Linked DNA regions of Elephas maximus indicus. The protein of the gene in region 2 purifies or fractionates together with the protein of the main gene of each other region. This does not show direct contact. Links are inferred from orthologs where the notes say so. Each region holds a gene or a part of one and is shown on either strand. Other genes may lie near its edges. The genes, in order: ZFYVE19 and VPS4A.

The links.
Region 1: the proteins of VPS4A (region 2) and ZFYVE19 purify together in Homo sapiens (affinity purification with mass spectrometry; 3 studies listed by BioGRID and IntAct, counting the BioPlex papers as one, with this or other methods). This does not show direct contact. The link is inferred for Elephas maximus indicus from reciprocal best matches to the Homo sapiens genes VPS4A and ZFYVE19.

The regions. Positions count from the first base shown.
Region 1 is NC_064828.1:15,233,800-15,241,621, forward strand, and holds the start of ZFYVE19 (abscission/NoCut checkpoint regulator), read right to left. Parts: upstream 3,126-7,822; 5' UTR 2,953-3,125; coding exon 2,899-2,952; intron 1,646-2,898; coding exon 1,524-1,645; intron 1,504-1,523; exon of another isoform or gene 1,450-1,503; coding exon of another isoform or gene 1,442-1,449; intron 1,354-1,441; coding exon 1,300-1,353; intron 921-1,299; coding exon 802-920; intron 702-801; coding exon 556-701; intron 3-555; coding exon 1-2. Other genes in the region: DNAJC17 (dnaJ homolog subfamily C member 17), read left to right, coding at 3,321-3,398. UniProt on the Homo sapiens protein: Key regulator of abscission step in cytokinesis: part of the cytokinesis checkpoint, a process required to delay abscission to prevent both premature resolution of intercellular chromosome bridges and accumulation of DNA damage.
Region 2 is NC_064839.1:35,547,719-35,555,217, reverse strand, and holds the start of VPS4A (vacuolar protein sorting-associated protein 4A), read right to left. Parts: upstream 3,166-7,499; 5' UTR 2,980-3,165; coding exon 2,959-2,979; intron 1-2,958. UniProt on the Homo sapiens protein: Involved in late steps of the endosomal multivesicular bodies (MVB) pathway. Recognizes membrane-associated ESCRT-III assemblies and catalyzes their disassembly, possibly in combination with membrane fission.

The DNA.
Region 1 (7,822 bases), on a different chromosome or scaffold from region 2:
ACCTGCCCAGAGGACAGAGCTTCAGTGTGCAGGGAGGGGAAGCGACACTATGAGGCCCAGAAGCAGTCTTGGTCAGGGGTGTATACTAAGGAGTTCTCAAAGCCCAAGGAGTATCAGTACCAGTAGCCGTAAAGATGATTCCAACTCATTGCGACCCCCTGTGTGTCAGAGTAGAACTGCACTCCATAGAGTTTTCTTTCAGAAGTAGATTGCCAGGCCTTCCTTCTAAGGTGCCCCTGGGTGGATTCAAACTGCTAACATTTTGGTTAGTAGATGGTACTTAACCATTTCACCACTCAGGGAAAGGGGATTAATTCAGGCCCATATAATCTAGTGGGTCTGGCAGTGCCCAACAGGACTGAGGGGCCACCTTTTCGTGCTCCACCCAATCCTGCTGCTCACCCCTGGTTCCCTGGCCTGGCAGCAGAGCTGAGGATCAGGGGGTGGGGGTGGGAGGCTTTGCTAACTCTGCAAAGTACATGACCGAATGTGCATCTGGGCTTCTGCTGGGCCCTCTCCCTAGGACCTCCTTCCCACCCAAGCCATGGCACCTACCGGTTGGGGGCCCTGAGAGGGCAGAACTCTGCCCTGCAATGTGGCAAGCCGTGCCTCCATCTCCTGGGTGGATGGGATGGAACCCTGGGCTTCGTCCCTCAGTGCAGCCAGCCGGGCTTCTATCTCTGCCTGTGAGGGCACTGACTCTGGAATTGGCATGGGAGGGAGCTCTGTAAGGCCAGAGGAATCCCAATCCCGGGAGCCCCTGGCTGTGCCCTTCAGACCACCCTGCCCACCCCCACTCACTGGGCTTGTTCTTCTGGCGGAGCCGTGCCAGGCGCTCAGCAATGACCTGGTCTTGTGGGGTCAGTCCCTGGCTCCGGGGAGTGCTGGGCTTCTGCTTGGCTTCCAAAGCTGCCATGCGTCTGGTGGGACATGAGACAGAGGCTCTTGAGGAAGGCAGGGAGTAGGGAGGAAGGTGACCACTTACTATTTCCCATTCAAATCATTTCTCTGCATCTGGTCGGGGGGGGTGGGTCTCTAATGGGCACCTTCTGTGGCCCTTGCTCATGTTGCCCTGCAGCCCAACCCAGCTTTAGCAGACACGGCAAGGTCTACCAGGCGCCTTTTCTGGGGAGAGGGCTGATGACCTGCTTTCTAAGCCCAAGAGGGAAGTCAGGAGCCTGAGACAGGGATTCTCTTCACCCTGTGCTTGCTCATTTATTCTAGGAGCTGGGAGGACAGTCCTACCCTGATGGTCTTTTGTTCTCTACCCATCCCCGTCTCTTTCTCTTCAGCACTTACTTCTTATAGTTCTGAGGTGGTGACCACTTGGAGGTGTTGGCAGGAGCGGCCCCTCTATAGTGAAGAAATCTAGTGTCAGAATTCTGCCACCCTGCCAGGCAGCGCCCTTCCCTCCCCCACTCCCAGTTTCCTGGGCTGACACCTGGTCATAGAGCACAGGGCTGTAAGAGCTGTCAGCTGTCCACTGCCATGCTTGGCTGGACCCTGGCCACCTCGCCTCTCACCTGGTCAGGACCTCGTGGCACTGCTTGCAGACTTTGTGCTGGGTGTTCCCAGCCCGGGGCACTACTGCACTGTAGCTGAGGCAGCCAGAACAGAAGGCCCGGCCACAGTTCTTACAGCCGCACTGCAGGAAGGAAAAGGAGGCTATACCTCTCACGTGCCCCTGCAGGCTCCTCCCTGGGACTCCTCAAGCACACAGACAGGGAAGACACTGATGTGGTGACCAGTCACTGAGAGGGGGAAGAGGAGTGGGGCCCCTGACGCCTGGGGAGAGACAGGGGCTGCAGGTGGGGCAATTCCTCAGTCTCCAGTCTCTTATTCAAATCAAGTACAGCTTCATGCAAAATTCCCAGTGCTTTCTACCCCAGCTTCAATTCCCAGGCACAGGGGTGTAGAAGGCAGAGAGACAAAGTCTCATGCTTCAAGTCACTGACCCTTCAACAAAGGAGAATCACAGAGTGCAGGGCCCACGCCTTCTCTGCTCTAGCCAAGTGGGCGGGTGGCTTGGTTTGGCATAGAATAGTAACAATAGCCTCTATTTATTAAGCACTTACTGTGTGCCAGGCACTGAGCTCAGTACCAAACATTCATCTGATTTAATCCTCACAATTTACATACATTACCTTAATAAATTTTTATAACCACCATTTATTGTCCCTATTTTAGATGGGGCCAGAGAAGTTACATGACTTGCCCAGACCAAGGAAGGTCATCGCGTGAACAGGACAGCAGAACTCAAATTTGAACCCTGACCACTCTGACTCCAAAACCCAGGCTAAGTGCTACACCATCCTGCCTCCCTGTGTGCCATAATTCATTCCATCTGGTTCTCATCTCTTGGTCAGATGCCCGGGCCATAGCTAAGGCACAGGAACTTGGGAGGTCCCTGAGGTCCCTGCATGTCTTTGCAATGGTGCCCTGGGGGCAGGAGGAAGGACAGTAATCTAACTCAAGAGACCCGGGAAAGGCAGGCTGCGATGGAGAAGAGAATAAAGGGCATGTGTGATGGAGAGTGATCACAGGGCATTAACTAAGACCGGGCTGCGGAGGAGCAGGTTGGAGAAGGAAACTGCCAGACCGTACATCTGGCGGACAGAAAGGCGTAGCTTTCCAAAAACGACAGCAGCATGCTTTACAGTTTATAGGGCACTTTCAACTCCAGATCTCACTGGACCCTCACAACTCCGAATGCGAGGCAACATTAGTCCCATTTTACGGAAATGGTAACTGAGGCTCAATAAGTTCATCAAAACCACACAGCTGGAAAGGGGCTGAACCGGGCCGTAAACACTGCAGTCTTCGGACTGCAAACCCCGTGTTTTTCCCTCCGCTCCGCGTCCTCCCTGGCCCTCCTGCCCCCGGGGAGAAAAGACTCGCCTCCTTCTTGAAGAGTGTGAACTTGGCTGCGCAGCCGTAGCACCTACTGTCCATCTTGGCTCCCGAACGTCAGGTTTGGCAGAGCTGAGGTCACGCAGGCCAAGCCAAGGACCCCTGGACTCTCACCCAGCACCGCCCGGCACTACACGCCCACCCGGGCGTTGCTGCTGCGGCCTCTGGCCGGGAGTCTGGACAAACCACGGGTGCCTGAGCGCGGCCGCGGCGGGGCGGGGACTGCTGGGAGTCGTAGTTCTTTCACGACAGCCCGCCTCCCTCAGAGTCAGGCCAACCAGACCCAGAACACTACAATTCCCAGGGGGCTAGACGCCATTAAGCCTGGCCGAGCCGGGAGGCCCTCGGGAGTCCGAACGCACGCTTAGGCTCTTGGGAGTTGTAGTACCAACCGAGCCAGGGTCGTAACCATGGCTGTGACCAAAGAGCTCTTACAGATGGACCTGTACTCGCTGCTAGGGATTGAGGAGAAGGCGACGGACAAAGAGGTGAGAACAGTGGCGAGGAGGGCCGATCCTGAGCCGTCCTTCCTGTCTTAGCACCTCGTCTGCTGCTGGCACTCGGTCTCGAGGTTCGACCGGGCGCTGGGCGGGAGCGAGGGGGGCCCGACGGCCTCAGAAGATGGGCTCCCAGACCTTTCCTGGGTCTGAGGGCCTCGAGGGGAGGGGCAGGGCGCACAGAGGACTCCTCGCGCCGCGTGACCGTGCTCTGTGGCCCCTGTCTGGGAGAGGCCCCGGGGTGAGCCTCCGGGGGAACCCTAGCCTCCTTTCTACGCCTGCGCAGTCGCAGCCTCTGCTTCCGCTTGTCTGTGGACTGTAGCTGGAGGTGCTTCGTTCAGTTTCGACTGAAGGCACATTTCACTCCACTTAGAGCCTTGGGAGGAAGACAAGCCGGGTCTCAAGGCGCCCCCACTCTCACTTCATCCCCCCTTAGGATTGTGACCTATGACTCTGCCGGCTGTATTTTCTTTTCCAGCAAGCTCATTGACTCTTTTCAAGTAGTAGATGTTTAGGTGTTGTACTTCTTAGTGGGCCAAAAGAAGGAGGGTCAGAAGACTCAGGCAGGTAGCCCGGGGTTCCACAGGAAGGTTTTAATAAAATGCCAGGGAATGGGACACTGATCAAGACACTGACCAAACTGTACTTAAGATTTCTGTTCCGTTTTCCTGAATCATGGTGGCAGTTATAGCCTGGTTGGAAGGAGAGTCCAGTAATTCATTGGATGGAAATTAATGCCAGCTATTGCCCATTTATTGCCCATTAGGAAACCCTGGTGGCGTAGTGGTTAAGAGCCACGGCCGCTAAGCAAAAAAGGTCGGCAGTTCAAATCCACCGGGCGCTCCTTGGAAACTCTATGGGGGAGTTCTACTCTGTCCTATAGGGTGGGTTTTTTGGGTTTAATGCCCATTAATGCCCTTGTGCTTCTGGGCTGCCCTGCTCATGGGCTGAATGAGCTGTGAGAAGCAGCAGCTCTGGGACAGAAAAGCTGTCCGCTTGCGCAGTACTTTCCACCGCAGCTACAGCTGAAATCAGAAGTAAGTTACAGCGATGCCTAAGACCCATTGCTATCAATTTCAATTCATAGACCCTGCAGGACAGGGTAGAACTGCCCTGTAGGGTTTCCAGGACTGTTGTCTTTATAGAAGCAGACTGCCACATCTTTCTCCCATGGAGCCACTGGTGGGTTCAAACTGCTTAACCACTGTGCCAGCAAGGCTCCTTCAAGGATGTCTGCAGGGCACCAAAACCGTCTACTACATCCCTTACCAAAAAAAAAAACAAACCCGTTGCCGTCTAGTCGATTCTGACTCATAGTGACCCTACATCCCTTATAAGTCATAAAATTGCAGTGTTAATAATGCCTAATAGGTATGTAATGCCTACTATGTGGTGTAGTGGTTAAGAGCTACAGCTGCTAACCAGGAGGTCAGCAGTTCAAATCCACCAGGTGCTCCTTGGAAAGCCTATGGGCCAGTTCTACTCTATCCTATAGGGTCACTATGAGTCAGAATTGACTTGATGGCAACAGGTTTTTGTATGTGCTGAATTTGTTAAATCATTTAATTAGTACTTCATTAATACTGAGAAATTATTTGGGACATTTCACACCAGATCCAGCCAGTGTGTTGGAACCCTGAAGCTGAGAACTCCTGATGAAGGCAATTGGGAGCCAGTGATGTATATATATAAAACTATATATGTATATACATACCTGTTGCTGTTGAGTCGATTCCAACTCACAGCGACTCTGTAGGACAGAGTAGAACTGCCCCATAGAGTTTCCAAGGAGCGCCTGGTAGATTCGAACCTTTTGAATAGCAGCTGTAATTTAATCCCTGTGTCACCAGTGTTTCCGTATATATATATATATATATGTAAAAATCAGAGAAGTAACATAATTGGATTTTTAAAGGAAATATTCAATATCAGTGTGCAGAATGGACACGGGGTGAGGGTGGAGGAGCTGCCGCGAGGGGGTCAGGTGGAGCTGTTGTCTAGGCAAGAGACCAATGCCTGAGCTGGGCAGAGGTGGTTGGAATCAAGAGCTCACTTAGATGGGATAATGGATGTGTGAGAAGGTTCTTTGTAAAGGATAACAGTGCTAATATTTATGGGTTGCTTTCCATGTGCCAGGTCCTTCCCCTGCGTTTTAGTAGGGGAGGCAAGATTCATGCACAATTAACTACAATAAAAGGAGAACATGGTAAGTCTTCTAAGACAAATACAAATAAAGTGTTGTGGATGTTCAGAGTAGGGTGAGATTACTTCTAATTTGGGAGGAGTTGGGGAAATAGAAGAGGCATTTGAGGCCTTGAAGGAAGGGCATAGTTTACCCATGTGGAAATGGAGGAAGGGCATTCCAAGAAAGGGGAGAGGAAAAAAAGAAAAAGGAGAGTATGTACAGTGCAATTTTTCTGGAGCATATACCAAGAAGAAAGGGTAAAAGAAGATAAAACTTGAAAAGTAGGTTGGGGCCTTTGAATACACTGGCTAGCTTCATAGTAATGCACACTTTTTGGTAGACAGCAAGAGAGACCTAGGTTCTGGTGTCCCTCCTCCTTGCGGGGGACAACACCTGTCACATTCTCTGGCGGCAACTGAATGTCTCCTAAACCTTGGTCATCTGGTCATATAGTCCGTGAGTTCTTAATTTTGGTCCACAGAAAGGTTCTAAGAGCTGCTTAAACCCTTGAAATCATGCATTATATGTTTTGTGCATTCATTTTGGGGCAGAGGAGGTAATTCTTACCCAAAAAAAGGCCAATCTCCTTCTGTTACTGATGGTGAAACTGAAGCTCAGAAACTCAGGTTGTTAGTGACAGAATTGGAACTAGATCCCCTGATGCCCAGCCCAGTCAGTGCTCTGTCCCCTGTGTCACCCTGGCCCTGTCACGCACCATATAGCCCAGTGGTAGTGATGGGTACCAACATCAGATTTAACTTCCGTTCAGGCCACGTCTCACAGTTCAAAGTCCATATATTCATCTCTCTACTTCTCTCCATTTGGATGTTTCACAGGGGTCTAAACCTTACTACATTCAAAGTTGAACTCTTGAACTTCCCTCTGGAAACCTGCTCCTTCGATGGACTTCCCATCTCAGTAAATCACCCAGCTACTTAAGCTGGAAACTCAGGGTCATTCTTGATCCCTTTTACCCTCTAACCCCTGCTATCTAGCCTGTCACTTATGCCCTGAGTCAACCTCCTAAATGTTTCTCAAACCTGTTCACTTATCTCCTGTCCACCACTACCAGTCTAGCCCAAGCCACCACCAACTTCTAAGTGAACGATTAGGGCAGCCTGCCAACTTGTTTTCCTCCTTCAAATCTATTCTATCCCAGCTTATTGTCTCCCTCCAATATATTCTCACAGAAAATAGAATGATCTTGGTACTCCCTTAAACCCTCTGGCACTTATAATAAAAGCCCTGCATATATGCTTTCCCAAGCTCTGCCAAGAATGTTTTTCCTCCCCTTCTTTAACTTGGGTTACTTTTACTCATCTTCAGAACTAAGTGTAGATGGCACTTCCTTGCCTGTTATTTTCTTTCCAAGCACCCCATTCTTCTCCTTTCCAGCACCCTCTCAGCTTGCAATTATGTATACATTTGTGTAGTTACTTGTCTCATGTCTTCCCTCCATCTGTACTCTCAGCTCTGATGACCAGATCTGGTCCTTTCACCTCATAGCAGCCCCTTACCTGGTGACTGGCACATCGTAAGTCTTAGTAAATACTTGTTAAATGGGAAGAATCAGGAGTCCTTTCTCAGGGCCTGACCTTCCTCAAAATATAAAATGAGGGAGTTAGGCAAACTTTGACTCCAGGGGTCAAACAGCCTGTTTTCTAAATGGTCCGTGAGAGTGGTTTTTACATTTTTAAAAGATTGTAAACAAAAACAAAGCAAAATGTGTGGTAAAGACCATTCAGGGCCTTGCAAAGCCTAAATTTTTTACTATCTGGCCTGTTACAGAAGTGTGCCAACCACGGCTAGAGTTAGGGACAAGTCCAACTCTACCGTTTTGTCTGTGGAGATAGTCCTTCTGCAGATGTTTTTCTTCATATCACACAAACCTGGGGGGCCTGAAGGGGACCAAACACCATCATTTGGGTGAATTTAGACAGTCCACAGTTCCTGAAGGTAGACATTTTTTTTGTTCCCTACTCCATCCCAGAGGAGTCAGGCAGGGCAGGGTGTTCCCGTCTGACAGGAATGTCTTGGGTTGAGGACCTAGGTTTGGGGTGGAAGTGCTCCTGGGGAGAGGACCTAAAACCAAACCAAACCTGTTGCTGTGGAGTTGATTCCCACTCATAGTGACCGTATAAGCCAGGGTAGAACTGTCCCATAGGGTATCTAAGGCTGTAATATTTATGGGAGCAGACTGCCATGTCTTTCTCCCACAGAGGTGAGTTCT
Region 2 (7,499 bases):
ATCGATTTAAAGGGACTTTTACTTCCTTCTACTGGCCTAAGTCAACTTGCTTCTCTAGGCTGAAGAGAGAAAACAGTTGTCCTAAAGACAGGTACCTAAGGAGGGGATGCTTGGGCACAGAGTTCACTATACCAGTAGTTCCAGTAAGGAAAGTGTTTGGTTATAGCTGAGACAAATATGTGCTGCTAATTGAGGGGCACTGTCCTCTGGAACCTTCTAAGAACTCAGAGTGAGTGAGTGAGTCTCTGTGAATCTTATAAATTCTGCAGGCCTGTGCCCCAGTCTGAACGAAAAGCATACTGGCTCTTTTCAGGCAGCTGCCCACACCCACATACCCACTTTTAGAAACTGCAGCTTCTCGAACCAGAAGCATTACCAGAAATTACCATCCTCTGTCAGATACAGCTCTGTTCCCCCGGCGTATACCCAGAACCCCATCCACAGTAAACAATAAACCTCCTGGCCAGCTTCTTGCGGGGCCGGGGCATTTGTGAAGTCCTTCCTTATTTGAAGGTAAGATGTCTCAGAAGGACATGGACTACAACACTAACAGACGGGGGGTAAATTAGGCCAAGCTGATGGCAAATGAACTCCAGACTAAAGAGATGAGAAAAAGGTGTAAAAGAGTATTGGCTCCTACCTTCAAGTTTCAGCTCCCTCCTCTACCTACAAATAGAAATTGGCTAGGAGCCCTGGACCTTCTTGGATGATTGGCTTACATACAAGCTTCACTTATCTAGTCTCTCTCCCCCGGAGAGCCCTTTAGATAAGACATGAGGCAGTGCTCCTGCCCCTGGTGGCTTCTCTTCTCCAGAATAAACACCCCCAGCTCCTTGGACTTTTTCCTTCCCTAGCTTCTATGTTGTTATTGTTGTTGTTAGTTGCCATGAGTCAATTCCAACTCATGGTGACCCCGTGTGTGCAGAGCAGAACCGTTCCACAGGGTTTTCAAGCCTGTGACATTTCAGAAGCAGATCACAGGCCTGTCTTCTGAGGCACCTCTGGGTTTGTTTGAACCACCAATCTTTCAGCTGGTAGTATAGTGCTTAACCATTTGCACATCCAGGGACACCCAAGCGTCCCTAGTCCTTTTGAAAGGTGAGGCCCAGAACAATACTAGGAGGTGGAGCACAGCAGGCCTGGCCCATGCCCTCCCTCCTTCAAAATACTCAATTAATACACCTAAGAGTACATTAGATTTTTCTGGCAATCACATGCAGTTTTTCCATATGCAGGAGGCTTTACCTTCAATTTGGAGAGGAAGAGCTTTGTATAACAGTATAGTAAGGTGACAAACAATACTGCCAGTCCTGCCACACTTCTAGTAACACGTATGGTGAAGAATTAAGGAAGAAAGTAAAGATGTGCTAACAAAGAGGTTGGCAAACTTCTGTAAAGGGCCAGACAGTAAACATTTTAGACTTTGCCAGCCATATGTTCTCTGTCACCATTACTCAACTCTGCTATTGTAGTGCAAAAGCAGCCACAGAAAGTATAAAAAGGAATGAGCGCTGTTGTGCCCCAAGGACACTTCATTCACAGATATGGAAACGTGAATTTCATGACTTTCACGTGTCATAAAATAATCTATTTTTTCAACCATTTAGAAATGTAGGAACCTACAACATGGATAAATCTTAAACATTATGCCAAGTGAATGAAGTCAGTCACAAAGCGTTATATATTATATGATCCCATTTACATAAAATGTCCAGAATAGGCAAAAATATACCAACAGAAAGTAGATTAGGAGTTGCCTAGGGCCAGGAGGGTTGTGGGGATGGGGAGTGTTAGCTAAGGGATGCTGGGTTTCTTTTAGGCTGATGAAAATGTTCTAGAACTGACTGTGGTGATGGTTGCACATATCTAGGAATATACCAAAAGCCACTGAACTAGACACTAAATGGATGAATTGTATGGTAAGTGAATTATATCTTAACAAAGCTGTTTTTAAAAATGTAAAAACCATTCTTAGCTCACAGGCCATACAAAAACTGGCTGGGCAGGCTGGATCTGGCCCGAAGACTGGAGTTTGCCCAGTCTTGTGATAAGGTATTAGAGCTCTATGGTTGGGATCTGGCTTTGTACCCCAGCTAACTCCTGGCCTAATACTGCACTTAATTCCATGCCTCCATTCCCACTTTTTCCTCCCCCCACATACGGGAATGCTACCATCCTTGATGCTCTGGCCAAATGCCCCCTCTTCTATGAAGTCTTGTCTAACACCCCCAAGCACTTCCTCATCACACACTGAGCACTAACAATGTACCAGACACTGTGTTACGAATGTTTGAACTGAAGTACTCAATCCAGACCCATTCTCACAACAACCCTATGAATTATGGTACTCCCATCTCCATTTCACAGACAAGGAAAAGCAAGATTCCAAGATCAAATAAACCAGTCCAAGGTCACATGCTACTGAGTGGCGGGGCAGATTCAAACCCAGGTCTGGAGGCTAAGCGTGTTTATGTTTTATGGCCCTGCAGGACTGGCAGCACCAGGTGAATGGGTCAGCCATTCATCCAAGTGCTGCCACCCCAGCAGCGCCCTGCACCACCAGAAGAGAAGTCGGAGACCAGGCAAGAAGCTGGGGCTCCTTCGAAGTGGGGCAGAGGGGCTTCCAGGACCCGGGGCAGAAGGTGGGAGTGAGCATCACCAGAGCGACTAGCCGGAACCAGGGCCGGAGATTGCCCTGGAGGGGCCTGTGGGCCCAGTGATCAAAACGACGGTACCGGGGCGCCGGATGCACGTAGCGGCCTCGGGGCTCGGCCCAGCCAGGGCCGGGGTGGACTGGGAAGGGAAGGCGCCCGTCGGCTCCTATCACGTGAACACAGACCGGGAGGAGCGGGAGGCGCAGACTGCCGGAGCGGGGCTGAGGCCGCAAGGCCCAGGCTTCGGGGGCGGCCGCCGGCCTGCCCGATTCCGCGGCCCGCAGGCCCCGCCGCGCCGAGGTACCTGGAGAGTTGACGTTGTCATTTCATCTCCTGGGTCCGCCCCACACCCCGCGGTGCTGCTTGCGGCCTCAGTTCGGGCCCGGAGAGCCCAGGTGCTGGGTCCGGCACAGGGAACCGGGGGGGTTGGGGCCGAGAGCTGGCAGGTCTGCCGCTCGCACCGGAGCCGAGTCCCACGGCAAGCGAGGAGCGCGGCCAGAGCGGTCGGGCCCGAGGCGCGCTGCTGCCCCTGGAGGCCTCGGCCGGTACTACAGGGACCGCTCCCCGCTGTGGTCGATTGGCCACCCCGCAGCTAGGCGAGGACTGGGCGGGACAGGGGGCGTGTCAGGGCGGGGTGGGCCTAGTAGGGGGAGGGCTGGGGCGGGGCCTGGGATAGGGGGGTGGGACCAATGCCTAGGTGAGCGAGGCGAGACCAAGGGCCGAAGTATCTGAACCCCATTTCCAATAAAATTTTTGGAACAGGTATGGCTAGAATGCTCCTTAGAAGCAAGAATGACGAGACATCATCTATTTTACGTTGGTTGTGTTATCAGGAGGGAGCAATTGTTGGAGAAAAGCATCATGCTTGGGAAAATAACAGGGTCAGTGAAAAAGAGGAAGCCTCTCAACAAGATTGACAAAGTGGCTGCAACAGTGGGCTCAGACCTAACAGTTGTATAGATGGGGCAGGACAGGCAACACTTCTTTCTGTTATACATAGAGTCGCTAAGAGTCGGAACCCACTCATGGGCACCGACGGAGAAGTTTACTCGCACAGTAAACCTAACTTCCCAGAGCTTTGGTCTCATCTTTTGTGTGTGTGTGTGTGTGTGTGTGTGTGTGTGTGTGTGTGTGTGCTTTAAGTGAAAGTTTATAAATCAAGTCAGTCTCCCGTACAAAAATTTGTATATACCTTGCTATATACTCGTTTGCACTGGTTTTTTTTTTTTTTTTATATACTCGTAGTTGATCTCCCCCTGGTGAGACAGCACACTCCTTCCCTCCACTCCCTATTTTCATGTCCATTCGGCCAGCTTCTGACCCCCTCTGCCCTCTCATCTCCCCTCCAGACAGGAGCTGCTCACATAGTCTCATGTGTCTACTTGATCCAAGATGCTCACTTCTCACCAGTATCATTTTCTATCCCATATTCCAGTCCAATCCCTGTCTGAAGAGTTGGCTTTGGGAATGGTTCCTGTCTTGGGCTAACAGAAGGTCTGGGGACCATGACCTCCGGGGTCCTTCTAGTCTCAGTCAGACCATTAAATCTGGTCTTTTTATGAGAATTTGAGGTCTGCATCCCACTGCTCTCCTGCACCCTCAGGGGTTCTCTGTTGTGTTCCCTGTCAGGCAGTCATCGGTTGTAGCCGGGCACCATCTAGTTCTTCTGGTCTCAGGCTGATGTAGTCTTTGGTTTATGTGGCCTTTCTGTCTCTTGGGCTCATAATTACCTTGTGTCTTTGGTATTCTTCATTCTCCTTTGATCCAGGTAGGTTGAGACCAATTGATGCATCTTAGATGGCTGCTTGCTAGCGTTTAAGACCCCAGCCTGTGTAAAGGACCCAGAGAGGCCACTGGTGGATTTCATGAAACTGAACAAAGCCTAGATTGCTGGAGCAGAAAATAAGGTGAAGTCTGATGTGAACTGGTGCTGGGGAGGTGGGCAGGTGCCAAGACATTTGGCTATAGTAAAGATTTTGGGTTTTATCCTAAAAACAATGATAAACCATATTTTAAATAAGTTTTTTTTGTTTTGTTTTGTCATTTTGCATTTTGGATAGAGGACTCTAAACCTAGTATAGAGAGCAGATTGGAAGGAGAGGTGAACTATTGCAATATGAAGCTGTTGGCATAGTCCAGAAGAGTAAGGGAAGCTTGGGCCAGGGGGAGGGCTATGGAGAAATGTATGCAGAGAGGAGAGGTTTGGAAGGCAAACAATAAACACTTAGAAATGGATTAGATACAGGGCATGAAGGGCAGGAGGGGTCAAGGATGACTCCTGGGTTTCTGGCTTTGGCAGGTGGACGGATGGTGGTGCTACTGAGATAGAGAACACTGAACAAAGGCCAGGTTTGAGAGATGGTGGGTGAAGATCTTGAATGTGAGGTGCTTTTGAAATATCCCTGTAAAAACAAGTGTCAGCTGGATATACTGCATCAGAAACTCAGAAGATGAGGGCTGGAGGTTCACATCTGCGAGACATCTGGATACGAGTAGGAATGGAAGCTATGTGAGTGAGAACTCTTAGGGAAGACTAGCGTGTAGGGTGAGGGGAGGAGTGAGCTTTAAAGTTTGTTGGCCAACCAGGGGAGGGTGAGCTTGCAAAAGAAGCTCAGAAAGAGAGCTGGAGAGGTAGGCCAGAAGAGTGTCTTGGTAGTCAGGGGAGGAGTGTCTCAGGGGGAGGATTGTTGATAAGGAGGTAAGGGACAGAAGTACCTAATGCAGCTGAGAAGGAGGCAATGATATGGAAGACCCCAATGACCTCAGCCTGGGAAGTTTCAGTGAAGTGATGGAGGCAGAAGCCATATTACAGTAGGCTTCTTGGAGAAACGGCTGATTTCAGGCCTGGAGCAGGAAAGTACAAGATGAGTCTTTGTTGTGCCAGAAATAAATGTTTAAAGAATGATGGGTCCATATCAAAAGGACACAGTAGCCAGTTTGAAGAGGATCCCCCTGGCTAAATCTAGAATTCTTTTGGGATATAAAAATAAATATATTGTTAATCCCATTTAAAATTGTTAACCAATTAAAAAATAGGAATCCAAGAATCTTTAACATCAATCAATCAATCAATAAATGTGTGGGGGAGGGGGAGAGGAAATTCTTACTTACAATAGAATGCTAACTGATAAATGTAGAAGGAATGATAGTAATAGTCACCATCTGGTAACCATCACAATGGTAGACAATACAGGTAAACCTACTGCTGTCGAGTCGATTCCAGACTCACAGCCACTCTATAGACAGAGTAGAACTGCCCCATAGGGTTTCCAAGGTTGTAAATCTTTACGGAAGCAGACTGCCACATCTTTCTCCTGCAGAGCAGTTGGTGGGTTTGAACCACCGACCTTTCAGTTAGCAGCCAAGGGCTTTAACCACTGTGCCACCAGGGTTCTATATCAACGGAGGCTAAGGCTAGTGGGTGGAGGTCTGATGAAGAACAGCATACTGGCATAGTATCAAAATACCTACACCACAAAAATGCTAATCAAATACACAGGGAAAAATGGTAGAGACACTAACTTGACTAGGTGATCAAAGTTAGCATCACCAGTGTGGGATGAGGTGACATACTCTGAGAAGGGCACAGCATCACTTCTTTGGTATTCTTGCCCAGAATTCCTGACCTGATCTATAATGAGGTCATATGGGATGGAACCAGGCAGAGGGTCATCCTGCAGAACGAAAGACCTAAGCTCGGTAAGATTGTCAAGGACATGAGAATTCGAAAAAAGACCGGGTCGCTGCTCCAGACTGAAGAAACTGATGAGGTATGACAACCAAATGCAACATGTGGCACTGGATAGGATTCTGGACCAGAAAGGAAAAAGGGACATTGTTGGGATGGTTGACATCATTTGAATGGGATCGGATGGCAGTGTGGCACCAATGTTGGTATCCCGATTGGGAGGGTTGTATAGTGGCAGTGTGGGAGTGTCTTTGCTTTTGGGAGGTACACACTAGAGAATTTACAGGTGATAGGGTTTCATGTCAGAAAAAGATAAATTTAGTAAATTGTTAACAATTGGGGAATTTGGGTAAAGGGGATGTAGGAGTTCTTTTTATTGTTCTTGAAATTTTCCTATAGGTTTGAAACTATTCCAACAAAAAAAAAAAGAAAAAATGCAAATCTAAAAGCAATTTTTTATTTACAGTATAAAGGTTACAAAGGTATATATGTATTTATATATATAATACCCTTAAGTTACAAATTTTCATTGTAATGTACAATGTTATATGTTGATTTGCAACTCAAAAGGAAGTGTTGTCTATGCATCTATATTTATAGAGTACACATAAAGCTTTTTTTAATTAAGAACAAAAATACCACCTTGTTTTACGCCACGTATTTTTGATTTGGTAGCCTGGTGACACCAGAAGATTTCAAACTTAAACCTTAAACAAGATTTTAAAAGAAGTCTTGTTTAAATAAAGGATTCTAAAAAGAAAAAACAATATCATATAATTTTAATTCTTTGTAGAAGTATTGTTCTTTCTAAGCCTTAATACTTAACAAAAATGAAAGTTGTATGGAACAGAATACATATGAGTGGGTATGATCAGAATTTGCACAGATTAGCCAAAGTAGGCCTTCGTACGTAGTGGTTTGCCATGTTATTTGCTAGAAGACCTTGGATCTGGTACCAAAAGGGAAATAGATTCTTTGGGCATCAAGGTCTTATAATGCTGCACTCATCCAAGAGATTGTAAACATAACACTGGAGTACTATACTACAGGAAAAAAATCTGAAACTGGTTATTATAAGGGCAGATCTGCTACAAGATGAGAAGAATAGCCTCAAGATTGGTGATTATGCCAAACCTGAAACTCAGTTGAAATCACTT